4 linked regions of the Caenorhabditis elegans genome follow. The protein of the gene in region 2 purifies or fractionates together with the protein of the main gene of each other region. This does not show direct contact. Each region holds a gene or a part of one and is shown on either strand. Other genes may lie near its edges.

Region 1 (3,634 bases), on a different chromosome or scaffold from region 2:
ATTGAATAATATACGATTTTCGTTTTATTCTATTTTTTTTTCGTAAAATTCAAGCTTACTTGTTCATGACGGACTTGTGTAGATTTTTCATGTCTCGTTCGATTTTTGATTCGTTCAGCGTGATGTATCCTTTGTGAATAGCGAATTGAGCCAACAGGAAAGAGATTCCCACTGTGGCAGCAACAAGACGTCCTCCCTGAAAATATTTAAAAATTAAATATTTCTCTAGAACCACCAATTTTAAATACCTTGGTGACAAAATATCCAGTCACTGTCCCGAATCCAGCACCAACACCCAGCTGGACCATCGGCTGCTGCTTTTTCAGATCAACAACGTAGTAGAGGACTGTATCGATGGCATCACTCACACCTTTTCCGGCTTTTCCACTGCCTCCGTCGTTTTTTGAAAGATCAACCATGGCTGGAACAATCACAGTACTACATTACTCGAAGACGAAGAGAACCCGAATGTTAAGTATTGAAAAGTACTAGTGAACTATTGACACGGTGTTAGTCACATCTGACATCGAGAAAATTCAATATATTCACAGTCGATTAATTTATGAATTCAAATAAATACACACAGAAAGAAGACTGAACGATCTTGAAATTGTAGAATACACGTAGCAGTGTAATTATAAAAATAGAGGATTCCGGGATTGGGATGGGGGAGCATGGAGAAAATAAATTAAAGAAATGAGATGATTTAATTTTGAGTGAGAATCTCGCGTGCCTCTTTGCTGACGATTCCTTCCATGGAGTTGACATCGTTCCTCCATGCGGAAATGCGAGTCGCCATTTGCATTATCTGAAAAAAAGAAAATAAGTATTTTAAAAACTTATAATCAATTCTTATACCTGAGGATTATCTAAAACTCTTGGCTGCACCCATGTCACGTAGACAACTTGCTCAACTTGATTGATATCTCCACGAATGAGATCCTTGCTCAACGCCTTCATCACCAAGAACTCAACTTCGTCGAATGGGATCTGGCACTTCGTGGCGATTTCTTTGAATGAAACGCTTCTGGCTTTGGTTGGACGAGAGACTGCAAGTTCCATGACAGCCATCAGACGGATTTTGGCAGTCAGGAAATCCTTTTGCTTCTTCAAATCGTCCCAGCCTCCCCAATCTCCTTCGAGCGAGAAGAAGCGCGTCAAATCTCCCGAATTGAAGGCAAGAAGCACGTCCACGATCCAGCGTTCACGAGTTCCTTCGAGCGATTTGAGGATGGGGTGAGCAAGCTGAAAAAACCGTTTATTGGGGGAATTTAAATTGAGAGTTTCAACAAACCAATTCTCCGAAGTTGTGCACGTTTTCTCCCAGAAGAGCAGCGAAACCGAGAAGAACCGCATGGACTTGCTTCTGTTCTGTTGTCAGATTATTGGCGTCCTCAACTCCAAGATAACGAAGAGCTTCGCGATAATATCCAGCGAAGTCTCCAACTTCACGAAGATATAAAGATGAGACGCGGTAGAACGGGGCATGAACTTCTGTAACTCCGACAAGTGAGTCCACTTCGTGTTGTGTCGAATCGATTTGAGTTCGAATGCTCTTCAGATCAATAATCTGTCCATTTTTGTCCTTGTTCTCCAGTCTGGCTTCAATCTCTCCGGTATGAAGTCGAGCAACGGCAATCTTGTCCTTGTTGATGACGTTTCCAATTTTTGACAGGAATTCCATAGATTTTTGCTTGTCCTTTGTCGCGATATTTTGGGCGATCGAAATGCAAATCTCGACGAGCTGAAGAGGGTTGACACGCAGCTCCCACTCCGCCACGAACAGTCTGTAGAATTCGTGCATGTCCGTTGAAGCCACAAATTGTGGCTTCTTCACAAGGGATCGTGTCAGAACCGTTAGTTGATGCCAGAGCCTGAAAATTAGTGAAATAGTTTGTGTCTACAAAAACAATTGATTCTTACTTTTTCTCCCAGAGCTCCTTGAGATTCTTCCAGTCATCGGCCAGAGGTCCATTGGCAGCCGCCAGCTTTCCGTTGAGGTAGTCTTGAGCAGTCATCCTGAGAAATTCTCGATACATTAAAAATTGAGACGAGAAATGAGTGAAGAAGAAAGAAAATGAAGGAGTAGGAGCAATCAAAACAAAAATGGATTTCGAATAGCTAAAATGAACATTTTTGGCGAGCGCGCTCTCACAAAAATCAAAACAAAAAACTTTTTTTGAATTTTATTTGTCAGCAATTAAAGGCGCATGGCCTTTCACTTTGGAAATATCGAGACGCGAAAGACAATGTTTTCGGTCACGGCCATATGTCTGCGTCTACAGTCTCTTCAACATATGCGATAGGGCGCGCTTGCAACAATTTATTTTTCTTAATTTATTTTATTGTTTTTTAACAGAAGATATTGTTTTTAAAGTGCGAACACCCTTCTCGATTTATCCGCCAGCTGGCAACACAGCTTTTCAGGTTTTCCTTCCAGATTTGTGTGTTTTCTTCTTGGTTTATAGCGAAATCTGATAAAAATCGCAACTCTGAATAAAAATTATGTCAAACAAAGGCGTTGCTGTAAAATTGTGTCCATCCAATAGATTTTCCTCGCTTATTCTCGTATTATCTTTTTTCTTGATTTGCAAAAAAATGATCCAAGTATTTCGAAATTTCTGAAAATTCCGTGTTGTTACACGTCACATATCCTATCATTCGTTTTCTTCATTATCATCTTTTCTCCCTTTCACTGCAACGCTTCAAAATTAATCTCTGGTGCTTCGTTCTTATCTTCCGGTACTATTTCAATGTTCATACTACTTTCTATTGATTACTCGTTCAAAATTCCTAATTGTTAGTTTCTTTTTTCAGATGATCTCTCGATTTACAACGAGTTTCCTTTTATGGATGCTTCTGGTGTTCACAGTGGTATTCTTCGAAACTTCTGGTAAGTTTTTCTTTTGATTATTTGTTTCAATAATACAAATGAATTTCAGCGGCCTCTGACAAAGTTCTTCTTCGCGATGTATCAGCAATTACTCTACACAAAGGAAAAATGACGACAGGACGACGAGTTTCTCCAACCTTCCAGTTGAAGTGTGTCGGTGGATCCGCGAAAGGTGCCTTCACCCCAAAGGTGGTTCAGTGTGCAAATCAAGGTTTTGATGGTTCGGATGTGCAGTGGAGATGTGATGCAGATTTGCCACATGATATGGAATTCGGATCCGTTAGTTTTTTAAATATTTCCATCTCGCTTCAAAAAATGTTTCTTGTTTCAGATCAGTGTTTCATGTGAAGGATACGATTACGCAGAGGATCCATACATCCTGAGAGGATCTTGCGGGTTGGAGTATGAGCTCGAGTACAATTCTGCGAGCGGTAACAGATCAGTTTCTCGAAAGTCATCCCAGGATCGATGGGATCAGTTCGCCACGTTCGTCGTCGTCGCCTTCATCGCCTACATTATCTACGCGATGTGGACTAACAGAAATCAGAACCCAGAAAGCTCTGGCTACACTTCTGGTGGATCAGGAGGTCCTGGAGGCCCAGGATCCGGCGGAGGAGGTGGTGGTCCAGGTGGTTATCCAAGTGCTCCTCCACCATATGACGACTACTCCAAGCCACCGCCATATGGGTTCCGTGGTGACTCGCAATCTGGAGGTGGATGGTAAGGAATTTTAAATAAAAA
Region 2 (4,136 bases):
ATTGTAATGCAATTTCTGCTTTGTGTCCTCCGCAATCAAAAGTAGTAGCATATAGTCATAAGACAAAAGAATTGGTAACAGATACACCACCTGTAAGATTAAAATTATTTCAGAAAGATAATCAATGAAATACAAATATTTACAGCTCGAGAAAAATCCCTTTATACTTTCCGAACTTTTCTGCATCGATGGAGAGTGGTTCAAAAGAGGTGTTGGTTCCGAAGATTCGATGCTTACAGGATCCCCAATTTCATGTGCAACTACTAAATAATTATCTGATACACTTCGCATTATTCAATAATGAAATTGATAACAGTAATTGTAAAGATATTTCAATTGATAAATATTTTCAAAAAAGAAAATACTTTCTATCTAACGAGACCCAAATGAAAGAGGCGGAGCGTTTCCATTTGGCACTGGGGCGCGATTGCACTTTAGCTTTTCTCTGCATACGTTTCACTGACGTCAGTACTGACTTCTGGATCGGTCAAGTTACAATTTGAGATGTCTCGCTAAATGTTTGAAGAGCACGCAGAATGTTGAAACAGTGAAAGAAACACATTTCGAAGAGTGACCATTTATGCACATTGATCGGAAATAAATTAGGAATCCACGCACTTCGAGGATGAATCAATAAAAACAGGAGAGGGGTGGGAATAGAATACGAAAGATGAAAGTAAGAAAAAATCGCGTGAGAAAATTCGGGAGCGATTCAAAGGGAACACAGTGACAACCGGGAGTGAAGGATTAAGCGTAGTAATTGAGGGACGCCTTTTTCTTTGCCTGGACCTCCAGAATAGCATCCATAAAGTCTTCATGAAGAATCTCAGTAGCATCTCGTCGAAGAGCAATCATTCCAGCTTCAACACAAACCGCTTTGCATTGTGCTCCGTTGAAGTCATCGGTACAGCGGGCCAGTTCTTCAAAGTTTACATCCTTGCTGAAAAAAATTAATTAGACTAAATTTTACAAATAAAACTGTCGCGAAAACATACTTGACATTCATCTTCCTGGAATGAATCTGCATGATTCTGGCACGGGCATCCTCGTTCGGATGGGGAAGCTCAATTTTACGATCGAGACGACCAGAACGAAGAAGAGCGGGATCGAGCACATCGATACGGTTCGTTGCAGCAATGACCTTAAATTCATATTTACAGCTTATACCGTCTTAAAAATATAACTTAAAATGGAACTCAGCTTACCTTGATATCATCATTTGGTTGGAAGCCATCAAGTTGATTAAGAAGTTCCAACATGGTACGTTGCACTTCACGATCTCCAGCTTTCTCTGAATCGAATCGCTTCGTACCAATGGCATCCAACTCATCAATGAAAATAATAGCTGGAGCCTTTTCCTTAGCAAGAGCAAAAGCATCACGAACAAGCTTGGCTCCATCTCCAATGAACATCTGAACAAGTTGTGGGCCTGCGAGCTTCAAGAATGTTGATTTAGTTTGGGCAGCAACCGCACGGGCCATCATCGTTTTACCAGTTCCTGAAAAACGAATAATTTACACTTGAGCTGTTGTAATTAAAATGGTTATTTTCTAGGAGTACTACTTTATCAAAAATTTTTCGTAATCTTACCTGGTGGTCCATACATGAGCACACCCTTTGGAGGATGAATACCCAAATTAACAAATCGATCCTTGTGAGTCATTGGAAGCACAACAGCTTCAATCAGCTCCTGAATTTGCTTGTCACATCCTCCGATATCGGAATATTGTTCAGTTGGCCGTTCGTCAACTTCCATAGCCTTCACACGAGAATCATATTCTGCTGGTAATTTTTCAAGAATCAAATATGAATCCTTATTGACACCAACGAGATCTCCTGGCTTCAACTCATCTGGATCGACAAGTCCAACAACTGGTAAGAAATATGTGGCACGAGTGGAAGTCTTAATGACTGCGCACTTGGTTTTTTGGGCATCGAGATCAACATTTGCGCCTTCTTCTTCTGTATTATCCTCGAGATCAAGAAGTTCGACAACGTTGGACACCAAGTACGGAAGAGTTTTGTTAACTTTGATACGTTCAGTATTCTCCTTGATCCGTTCTTTGAGAGTGGTTGCAGAATGATTGATACGTTGAACTTCACTTCTCATAATACGAATCTCGTTGTCCAACAAGTGGGTACGGCTTTTGAGATCTTCCGTCGACATTTTCAGAATCTCCTCATCAATAGCATCCTCCACCTCCATTGCCTCTGGGTTTTTTCCGTCTTTTGGCGGTGGTGTTTGCGACATTGTACTGCTTCTGGGGCCTGAAAATTAGTTGTAATTGCTTCTGGTGAGATCTGAAAAGTAGTTCCAGAGAATAACGCAAAGTCAAAGTTCTGGACAATAAAATAAAATCAGTAACACAATGCGGTGTAAATGAGAATATTTAGTTCAAAAAATTAAACGAACGCTAATGTGTATTGAGCGAGTGACAATGAGAGAAAGTGTTTATCACGAGAAATAATGATTAGAATAAAAGAAAGTTTGACTTGATAATTTCACGATGGCCCAAAGGTTACGTCAGTATTTAGCTTACTATTAGGTTTACGTTCCGTCCACAAAATCTGTTTTGGCTAGCTAAATATTATTTAAAAAAGTTTAAAATTTGTGTTACTATCTTCAAAATATCTTTAATGAGTTCTCAAGATAAAAAATTTTGAATATAAACTTAAAAAAAAACAATAATAAGCTTTTTAGCCTTCAGTAAATGATAAAGAATCCAAAAGAACGAGAAATTTTGAAAAGGATGATTTGTGCAATTTAGCGTCGCGGTGAACCACACAGAAGGCATTTAATTTTACGACACTTGAAGTCTTCGTGCAGTTTTATTTGTTTTTATCAGAAAAAAGTTATTTCCACATGAAATTTTCAGCAAAATGATCGAAAAAATGATTCTACGAAGATTTTTCTCAACAAAATCATCAACGATGCGTGCATGGGTCTCTGAAAACGGATCTGGAGTTGAGCTCAAAGAAGTGCCGCTTCCAGTCATAAACAAACCAGGACAAGTCCTTCTAAAAGTTAAAGTGAGATTAATATTTCTTGATTCAAGCAATTTAAATATTTGTAGGCAGCGTCTGTTAATCCGATCGATGTTGACATGTCTCAAGGATACGGTAGAGAATTCCTAGGGACGTGGAAAAAAATAGAGTCCTGTGATGCAGCCGCGTCTAGATTCCCTCTAATTCCAGGAAGAGATTGTACAGCTGTTGTAGAATCTGTTGGTGGCGATGTGCACAATTTAGCTCCCGGTGATGAGGTAACGAAATCCTATTATGCATCGATTCATGATTAAATATCGTATGTTTTCAGGTTATGGCTGTTGTTCCTGTAATTCTTCCAGGCACACATGCCGAGTTTGTTGTCACTGATTCGAAGTATTGCTCTAAAAAGCCCAGCAATTTGAGCTTTGTATCAGCTGCCGCACTTCCTTACGTCGCATCGACAGCCTACTCAGCTTTTACAATAGCCAGGGTCTCACAACGAAATGCCAAACAACAAAGAGTTTTGATTCATGGAGGAGCCGGAGGAGTTGGAAGTATGGCAATCCAGCTATTGAAAGCATGGGGATGTGAAAAGATAGTGGCAACGTGTGCAAAGGGCAGGTTAGATTATCTATATCTTTGCAATTTTTCAAATAAAAATTGTAGTTTCGATATTGTGAAGCAACTTGGTGCAATTCCAGTCGACTACACATCAGACCAGGCGACTCAGGAATTGATTGAGCATGCACCATTTGAAGTTATTCTTGATACTGTCGATTCCCAGCTAGCAAAGTGGAGTGATAATGTAAATATAATTGAGAAGTGGAAATTAATGTATAAAACTACTTCAGGTTATGGGAGTATGGCGTAATTGTGTCCACGTATCAATTGTCTCCCCTTTGATGAGAGAAATGGATAAAAATGGAGTTCCGTTAGGTCTTGTAACGACTGCGATGAAGCATTTTGAAAGATCTTTCCAAGTAATTTTTGAAATATGTACCCGCAACTATAACAATATATTTTTCAGAGCCACTTACGAGGTCGTTGGTTTTCATACGCCTTCTTCAGACCAAGTTCGGATCTGATGAGTCAGTTATCTCGTTTCGCAGAAGACGGGAAAATTGTTCCGGTTGTAGAACAAGTGATGG
Region 3 (3,490 bases), on a different chromosome or scaffold from region 2:
CGGGGTTAACGCTGAAAGTGTGGAAATCTGGGGTCATTTGAAAAGTGTGATAAGACGGCAAGCGGATTTCAATGTTACTCCGATTGTTGGATACATTTCCGATGAGCGAGTTCTCGAGAATCTGGTGGTCAACTCTGATGAAGTACAAGCTGTTTTCACGATTCCAATTGATGAACTTATCAAAAAAGCCGGACTAACTAAATTCCAAAGCAAGAGAATGAAGTACACACTGCCTTCGTTCGATTCCACGGAGTTCAAGGTTTATTTTTTAAATAATTTCCGAAAAAATGTTAAGTTTTTCAGGTCCATCACAATGCTCCGAACGAGTATCTTCATTCCACCCAGCGAGTTTGGGGGCTTTCTGGTGTAATGTTGCATCAAGCATTGACCCTGCTGAATCCAGATGTCTATAAGCATGATTTAATTGTGAAATTTTTCTAATTCTTAGGATCTGTGTAGTATTTTTTTTGTTCGTAGAATTGTTGCCATAAACTTCGGGAGACTAAAGATAAAACATTTACAAGTCATAATGGGTGATAAATGTATTCTCGATATTGAAGAACCAACACAAAAGAATTTAAAAGTTGAAAAATACGGTAACCGGTCGGTCTGGGGTGTGGGGATGAGACAGGGAAAAGAGAAACAAATAAATTAGATTAAATTGTATACACTTAATGTTGGGAACGGGGAAAATTTCTCAATCCATACGAGCCTTGATAGTTGAGACGTTAACCTTATCCTTAGTGATTGTGTACACGACTGCTCCCCAACCTGATGCAGCATCACGCTCCAAGCAAGAAAGAATCGACTGAGCAGTAGCCTCGAAGAGCTCATCCGGCTTCATGTTCTCGCGCCAGAAGTCTGTAAAAAGTATTTAAATTGAACGTTAAACAAAATTCAAAAAACTCACTTTCACAAACTCCAAGCAAGTACTCTTGTCCCGTTCCGACAGCAACGAAATCGCGTGGAGCAGATACACATCCGATAGTGTCCATGCAGCAGATATATGGCTTGTTGGTGTCGTCCAAACCAGCAACGAGTGGCTCGGTGAAATAACTGCCAAAGCGGTGCTGATAAGCCAGATTCGAGATCATCTCGGACAACACTTGTGGCTTGATGTTGCGATTCTCACGGAGCTCATACAAATTCTTGCGGAACATAATTTTCTCCAAGACTGTGCGAGCATCGGATTGGAATCCAGCAAGTCCTACGTAGACCTTGTCTGTCACCTTATGCACTTTCTTCTGATCAGTTGCAATTGTTGTCATCTGCTCTCCAATACGAAGATCCGAAGCAATGCACACACATCTGAAAAGATAAGAATAAAATAATATTTCAACCATGAAATTTAAAACTTACTCGTCTCCAGCCATGGCGACGACGGTTCCACCAGTGTAGCTCATAATCGACATTTTTGAGTGTTTTTCTGGTCTTTAAGACGAAGAGATATATCTGAAATTGAAAGAGAGTGTGAGAATGTCTGGAAATTTAATAAAACAGAGAAACAATGAAGTGAAATGAGCGTTTCAATCGTTTGGCGGACATTTTGCTTACAAATAGGAAACTGCGGCAGGGAAAAGTGGGCGGAGACTAATAGCGTGCCAGGGTTGCTGAAGAGAACCTATGGAAATCGACCATTTTCTTCAGACAGAACATGAAAAAAATTAATTAAAAACGCGAATTTATCGACGGAAAAACGCATACACGGTAAGAAAACAATCTGAAGTCAAATAGAAAATTTAGAAACCGTTGCGGAGATGTGAAATGGGTGTACAAAAGGAAAATTGATGGAACAGAATATTGAAATTTTAATAAAAGGAGGAAAAAAGAGTGGAGATCAACTGAAAATATTAAATTGAGTGATCAAGTTATAAAGAAAAAATAACAATTGTCACTTTATGACGGAGAACGCAGAAATAAGGAGAGAGCGTAAAAATGGGAGGATAATAAAATCTTTAAAAAATAAATTAACTAAGAGAAGAAAATACCGGCAATTTTTGAGAGGGGAGACAAATTTTTGATCAAAATGCCTAGTAAGCGATTGGGAAGTTATCCTCCGGAATTCTGAGGCGACGAACAAGTCGAGTTATTGGCATTTCCGCCAATCCACGTGGATTCATGAACGTCGGATCATCGTTCATCACATTTCGGTGTGGCGGGCTCAAGGAATAGTGACGTGCATAATAGTCTCTGTGCCGTTTCGTACGACGTTCATTCACTGCACTATGACGACGTGCTTTCCTAAGAGCTCCTTCACGCGACAATCCACATTTGTTCTCCCTTTCGAACTTGGCGAGACGGCTTCTCGCAGGTTTATCCGCTTGTTGAAGAATCAAATTGTAAACTTTGTCTCGCATCAAGTCACACATTTTATTGGCCTCCGGGAAGAACTTTGACCAGTCAAAGTTTGGAAAATCCTGAATTAAAAGTGTTTATTTATTGTGATGTTTCATGAAGATTTACTTACGTTCACATTGACCGGACGGTTCGGATAACAGAAGAGCCCTTCAATGAAATGCAATACATAAAGTCCACAATCATAAAAGTTGTCTTGGATTGGAGTGTTTTCAGCACGAGTCACGACAACTCTCTCCTCATCGTAAATCGTTGGATTCTTCGACGCAAATTTCATTCCAGGAGCCTTAGTGTTTTCATACAATTGAGCCAAATAAATCTTGATGCAGTGACACATATGATTCTTCTTGCTTGGATCGAGACCACTCAACGGATCGAAGAATACAATATAACACTTCGGAGCAGCTCTGGAAGCTTCCTCATTCGACATATCGACAATTGCACCCGATGGATTGATAACAGCGATGACGAGCCAGTGAAGATCTTCGTTGATCGGAATGATAATATAATCTTTGGCAAGAACATCGAATTTTCGTGTCCAACGGAGAACTCGAGGGCAATTGTCTTTCACGATTTTTATGTGTTCTGGTTCGATTGGTCGTCTTTTGGAGAAGCACAATGGTGGAAGTAGGCGAGTCAGATTGACGAATAAGAACGTGTTGCACATATGCACGGATTTCATTCTGTAATTAAATTATAATTTTTAAAATCCAATGATGTTTAATGAAACTTACAGCTCGGACGAAAGCATAAATGCAATATAATTCAGCATAAATGCCATGACGCTGTCATTCAGGAATTCTTTGCGATCCAGTGTTTTGATATCCTTGACGAGCACTGAAATTCATGGATTCTATGAGGGAACAGTTACAGTAACCTATTTTGCGCAGACAGTACTTTGCTTGGTCTCACCACAATAAAGTTTTGTTAAATGCAAATAGGTATGCGCCTTTAAATAAAGTTTATATTATTATTTCTTGGTGTTTTTCAAAAATGAAAAAAATGAAAAAAATTGATGAAAATCCAGAAAAGTCTTGAAGCTACAATATTTTTTTAAAGGGGCATAACTGTTTGAATTCAACAAAAATCCGAGTAATATTAAACTTACACACTACAGGATCCATTCCCGTTGTGC
Region 4 (4,994 bases), on a different chromosome or scaffold from region 2:
ACCTGAAAAGAAAATTATTAAAATGGAAATGCATTTTATAAAACCTAAAATAGACGAAATCTGGTATAATTGCTTCTTTTTCGTGTTGTTCAGATCTGAATTTTGTGCGATATTTTGCTCGACGAGCTCATTTCTTTGTTGCTCAACAATCAAACGATCCATTACATCCGTCTCATAGCACTTCCAGATCTTGTGCACAGTGGTACAAATCTCATCTTCAGTGGCTCTTCGATCAATTTTATCGGTGCGTTTGGTCTCGCCACGAATAGAATTTGCATCAATTTTGATATATTCTGCATCTCTGATTCTAGAATTACACCTTGTCAGATGAATCTCTAGATCTGCCTTCAGAATCGTATGTTTTCCATCATTCGGGCAAACCATACGATCAGTGTTATTCTGATCGTGAATTGAATGCTCTCCACAGAACCGATTTCCCTTTTTCACCAGCATCTTACACCGTCGCTTCTTAATTGGTAGAATATATTCACAGCAAGCGTTCTGCTGTTGTTGCTGCTTCACCGAATCCAATTCCATTTTGAAAACGAGACCTGCGTGCGAGATATTTGTGATTTTCCTAAAGTTTATTGCTATAGTTGAATTGGTGTGTCTCAAAAGTATTATACATATCACAACACAGTAAAACGTGGTTCGTAAGACTATACGGGTTGGTTGTCGCAAAAAAAGAAATGGAAGGGCACAAGTAAAGTAGTCTATTCAACAAGAAGAATACCAAAAATATTGATTAATATAAGTGAAATTGTTGTTTAAAACGGGAGTTGTAAGGCGACCAGATACATTGTGTGTGGTTGGAATTTTTTGAAGTTTAGAAATCTACAAAAGAGAAAAAAGGTGCAATAAATATCTGAAATTTGGAATGTCAAATCAATCAAACACTTTAAAGAGGATAAAAGTAGAGAAAGGAGGCGAATTGGGTGAGGGGATCAAGGAAAAACATATACTTTTAACTAAAAAGTACACGCTCAGCAAAACTGAACAGAATCTAGCGGGGAGGCGAAAACAGAAACAAACAAGAGAATCAATTTTAAAATTTCTAAAAACATTAATTTAATCCTCGAGGTTTCTGAAAGCGTTAGCCATAGCCTCTGCCAAATCTTCGTAATCCTTGCGAATCTTGGCTTCACCATCGGCAACTGGATCCTTGAATTTCATGGCAGAAAGCTGGTAGATCAAATCTCCCATGCTATCCTTGATGACGTTCCATGTGATCTTGTTATCAGATTGAGCAGTTGCTTCAACAGCATGACGGGCCAAGTCATAGAATCCAATCATATTCTTGAGCATACCGACAGTCTTGTAGAATGGGCAGAAACGATCGTATTTGGTGTATCCGTTCTGTTGCAAGAAATCGTCCTTGATGATCTTGGCAACCTCAAGTGTGACCTTGTCTGATTCGGCGAGGGAAGCTTTTCCGACGAGTTGCACAATTTCGGAAAGATCTTCTTCTTCCTGGAGGATCTCCTTGCACTTGGTACGGAGTGAGACGAACTCTGGGTAGTTCTTCTCGTAGAACTCCTCAAGAGCACGCATGTACTCGGAGTAGGAAATAAGCCAGTTAATAGATGGGAAATGTTTACGTTGAGCAAGCTTCTTGTCAAGTCCCCAGAACACCTGTACGATACCGAGGGTGGCGGATGTGACTGGATCGGCGAAATCTCCTCCTGGTGGTGATACGGCTCCGACAATGGTGACGGATCCTTCACGTTCTGGAGATCCGAGACACTTAACACGTCCGGCACGTTCGTAGAAGGAAGCGAGACGAGCGGCAAGGTAAGCTGGGTATCCGGAATCGGCGGGCATTTCTCCGAGACGTCCTGAAAAGAAAATTTGAAAATGTTCAGAGAAATTTCAAAAATATTAAGAAAAAAATATGAATTTCAAATATGAGTATATTTTAAACGGATTAAAACTCACCAGAAATCTCACGAAGAGCTTCGGCCCAACGAGAGGTAGAGTCAGCCATCATGGCAACGTTGAGACCCATGTCACGGAAATATTCGGCAAGGGTGATACCAGTGTAGATGGAAGCTTCACGAGCAGCGACAGGCATGTTGGAAGTGTTGGCGACAAGAGCTGTACGCTTCATGATGGAAGTGGTGACACCTTCGACCTCCATGGTGAGCTCTGGGAAATCACGGAGTACCTGAAAAACAGAAAAAATTAGAATTGTAAAAAATAGGGGCAAAATTGTTAATTTATAATTTAAATGCGGGACAAAACATTGGAAAAAGTAAGAAACATAAACCTTTTAATTTTTAATTGTTTTCTAAATTTTATTCTTAAACGAAACTATTCTGACTAAACTTTTTCACAATTTTTTTTTGAAAAATTAAAACTATTGATTCCAAAAACGAAATTATGGAAAGGCTTTCTTGTTTATTTGATTTTTTCTAATGTTTTTAAAATTATTTTCAAAAAAATTACCTCAGACATTTCGTTTCCACGCTCTCCGCATCCGACGTAAATAATAGCATCAGAGTTGGAGTATTTGGAGAGAGATTGGGAAATGACAGTCTTTCCACATCCGAAAGCTCCTGGAATGGCGGTGGTTCCTCCTTGGACACATGGGAACAAGGCGTCGAGAACACGCTGTCCGCAGAGAAGTGGATTGTTGGCAGCGAGCTTCTCTGTGACTGGTCTTGGAGATCTGACAGGCCAGATTTGGAGCATAGAGAATTTCTGCTTGCGTCCGGCGAATTCGAGCTCGAGAAGGGTGTCCTCAACTGTGTATTGCCCGGATGGAGCAACGAAGGTGATGGTTCCGCATGCACTTGGTGGTAGAAGAATCTTGTGCTTGATGAGCAAGTTCTCATCGACGGTTCCAATGATGTCACCTCCGGTCACGTGTCCTCCAACACGGAGATCCTTGGACACAACGAAGTCCCAGCGAGCTTCACGAGAAAGAGCATTAGTGGAGACTCCCTTTGGAATGTAGATGGATTGAGTAATATCAGCAATATCCTTGAGTGGACGCTGAATTCCGTCGAAAATCGATCCCATGATACCTGGTCCAAGTTCGACGGAAAGTGGTTTACCGGTACGAAGTACTGGATCTCCGATTGTGACTCCAGATGTTTCCTCGTATACTTGAATAGTGGCGTAGTCACCCTCGAGACGAATAATCTCTCCGACGAGCTCTTGATGTCCTACACGAACCAACTCGTACATAGCCGATCCAGCCATCTTCTCGGCTGTGACGACAGGTCCGGACACTCCGTAAACGAATCCGTACGAAGATTCTGCGGCCATCTTTTCCTGGAATGAATGAATTTAGAAAGCTATATGGAAATCGAAAAGAAAATCAAAATAAACCTCGTTTTTCAACAAGAAGACCGAAAAGACAATGGAATTTTTAGGTTTAGAAGTAGGAAAACTCATTAATTCGAGCAATAATGCAAAATATAAAATACAAAGAATAGATATAAAGTGGCAGGGCAATGTTTAATCGGATAAACTTGAACCCTTATAAATATTCAACGAGAATTGGAATATAAATCAATTTATCATTCAATTTACAAGAACTTTTGTAAAGGAAAAAATCAAAGTAAAGGTAAACGAGACAAAAAAACGAGTAATTCCTGTGACTAAACGGGGGGAGAGAGATGTGGTAAAAAAGCTCACAGAAGTTGTTGGAAAAAGCGGAAGATGTGGAAGAGAGCGCACTGCACGGCATTCTACAACGAATAGAAGTGGTTCGATTGACAAGGAGAAACGTCGGCAGGCTAGCGAGAGACAGCGCGCCGAGAGCAGAGAGCAGATAGAGAGAGCGTGGCCGTGGCGGTCGCAAAAACCAGGAACCGCCGGTCGTGCGACTAGAAATCATCGCCGCGTTGCAGCTTCGCCCTATTGAACCGAGAATTTTATACAGCGAGGAGTGAATGTGAGAGAGTGAATTTTGTGTGGCAGAAGTTGTGTAGGTTTACGTCTATCTAGGTAGCGGGGAGAAAAGGTTACACGTCTGTCATCAAGCGAAATTTGATAAACTAATGTGGAAGCGAAGTTACTCTATTAGATAGGAAAAATATGATTTGCGAGGTTTGAGCGGAAAATTTATGTTCGTTTGGAACTATTTTCAAGTTATTCGCCTTAACAATTGGACCACAGTATCATTATAACAATAGTTGTTTTCTAAATTTCGATTAAATAGATACGAAAAAAAAGAAAAATTATATCCGCAAACTCTGAAAAAAAAGTTAAACCAATATTTCCATACAGTAATCTCTTCAAAGGCACAGGACGCTCAAAAACGAAAGGTCTCGCAACGAAAATGTAATTTTCTCCCCAATTTGCTCATTCAGTTATTTAGAATTACGTAGTCGTTAGAATTCTTGAAGGTTTAGACGATGAGACAAAAAAAAAGATGAAAAGTGATTGATCTGTGGTTGTGATAAGAAATTGAGACCGCGACGCATTACGCGTTGCACTTCAAAACATTCCTTTTCCGCTCATAAACACCCGCATTTACAATTAAAATTACAAATTACTATAGGTGAAAAGCCATATTTAATTATACAATCGAAATTACTTGCTACTTCCAGCTCTTGGTGCAGTGACTTTGAAACAATAAATGCCCATATGGTCGCAAATTTGGCGCGTTATGAATAAACAGTAGACTAAAAGTGATGCATAAACGTAAACAGTCGTGTACTTCAGAAGAGTTGGCTCATTGATTTTGATGTCGTAGTATTGATTGATCATCAATGCGATTGGCCCCATGTAGATCCAATCCCAAAGTGAGAGCTCACTTCTGCTCATGTGTGCAACAATCAGACGATTTGTGGCTTTTGCCGCAACGGCTCCAAATTGAAGAACAAATATAACAATAAGATCATCATAGACGCCAGATGCCGATTTGCTGTAGATCATACAATATGGAACAATGACTGCAAGAAGTGGGCAGGCTGGGAAGAGAACTGATGTTCCAGCAACAGTTGATCCATTCTTTCCAACACCATCTGTGAAGATGACTGATA

The links.
Region 1: the proteins of rpt-5 (region 2) and rpn-9 fractionate together in Caenorhabditis elegans (co-fractionation; one large-scale study listed by BioGRID). This does not show direct contact.
Region 3: the proteins of rpt-5 (region 2) and pbs-3 fractionate together in Caenorhabditis elegans (co-fractionation; one large-scale study listed by BioGRID). This does not show direct contact.
Region 4: the proteins of rpt-5 (region 2) and vha-13 fractionate together in Caenorhabditis elegans (co-fractionation; one large-scale study listed by BioGRID). This does not show direct contact.

Annotation. Positions count from the first base shown.
Region 1 is NC_003280.10:11,236,901-11,240,534, forward strand, and holds rpn-9 (26S proteasome non-ATPase regulatory subunit 13), read right to left. Parts: upstream 2,020-3,634; 5' UTR 2,019-2,019; coding exon 1,924-2,018; intron 1,875-1,923; coding exon 1,295-1,874; intron 1,246-1,294; coding exon 859-1,245; intron 809-858; coding exon 707-808; 3' UTR 547-706; downstream 1-546. Other genes in the region: FUN14 domain-containing protein fndc-1, read right to left, coding at 60-196, 249-419; T06D8.9 (Store-operated calcium entry-associated regulatory factor), read left to right, coding at 2,818-2,893, 2,943-3,172, 3,225-3,613.
Region 2 is NC_003279.8:5,741,304-5,745,439, forward strand, and holds rpt-5 (26S protease regulatory subunit 6A), read right to left. Parts: upstream 2,269-4,136; 5' UTR 2,252-2,268; coding exon 1,591-2,251; intron 1,499-1,590; coding exon 1,206-1,498; intron 1,142-1,205; coding exon 996-1,141; intron 941-995; coding exon 748-940; 3' UTR 565-747; downstream 1-564. Other genes in the region: rad-8 (Reticulon-4-interacting protein 1, mitochondrial), read left to right, coding at 2,881-3,030, 3,075-3,263, 3,317-3,609, 3,655-3,793, 3,840-3,968, 4,016-4,136. UniProt on the Caenorhabditis elegans protein: Component of the 26S proteasome, a multiprotein complex involved in the ATP-dependent degradation of ubiquitinated proteins.
Region 3 is NC_003280.10:4,953,976-4,957,465, forward strand, and holds pbs-3 (Proteasome subunit beta type-3), read right to left. Parts: upstream 1,453-3,490; 5' UTR 1,413-1,452; coding exon 1,360-1,412; intron 1,309-1,359; coding exon 911-1,308; intron 862-910; coding exon 698-861; 3' UTR 505-697; downstream 1-504. Other genes in the region: ndx-3 (Nudix hydrolase 3), read left to right, coding at 1-259, 304-441; ulp-2 (Ubiquitin-like protease 2), read right to left, coding at 2,031-2,417, 2,468-3,038, 3,090-3,192, 3,464-3,490. UniProt on the Caenorhabditis elegans protein: Non-catalytic component of the proteasome, a multicatalytic proteinase complex which is characterized by its ability to cleave peptides with Arg, Phe, Tyr, Leu, and Glu adjacent to the leaving group at neutral or slightly basic pH.
Region 4 is NC_003283.11:14,349,993-14,354,986, reverse strand, and holds vha-13 (V-type proton ATPase catalytic subunit A), read right to left. Parts: upstream 3,279-4,994; 5' UTR 3,271-3,278; coding exon 2,446-3,270; intron 2,165-2,445; coding exon 1,936-2,164; intron 1,836-1,935; coding exon 1,069-1,835; 3' UTR 565-1,068; downstream 1-564. Other genes in the region: Y49A3A.3 (tRNA:m(4)X modification enzyme TRM13), read right to left, coding at 1-2, 45-537; cept-2 (diacylglycerol cholinephosphotransferase), read right to left, coding at 4,543-4,994. UniProt on the Caenorhabditis elegans protein: Catalytic subunit of the V1 complex of vacuolar(H+)-ATPase (V-ATPase), a multisubunit enzyme composed of a peripheral complex (V1) that hydrolyzes ATP and a membrane integral complex (V0) that translocates protons.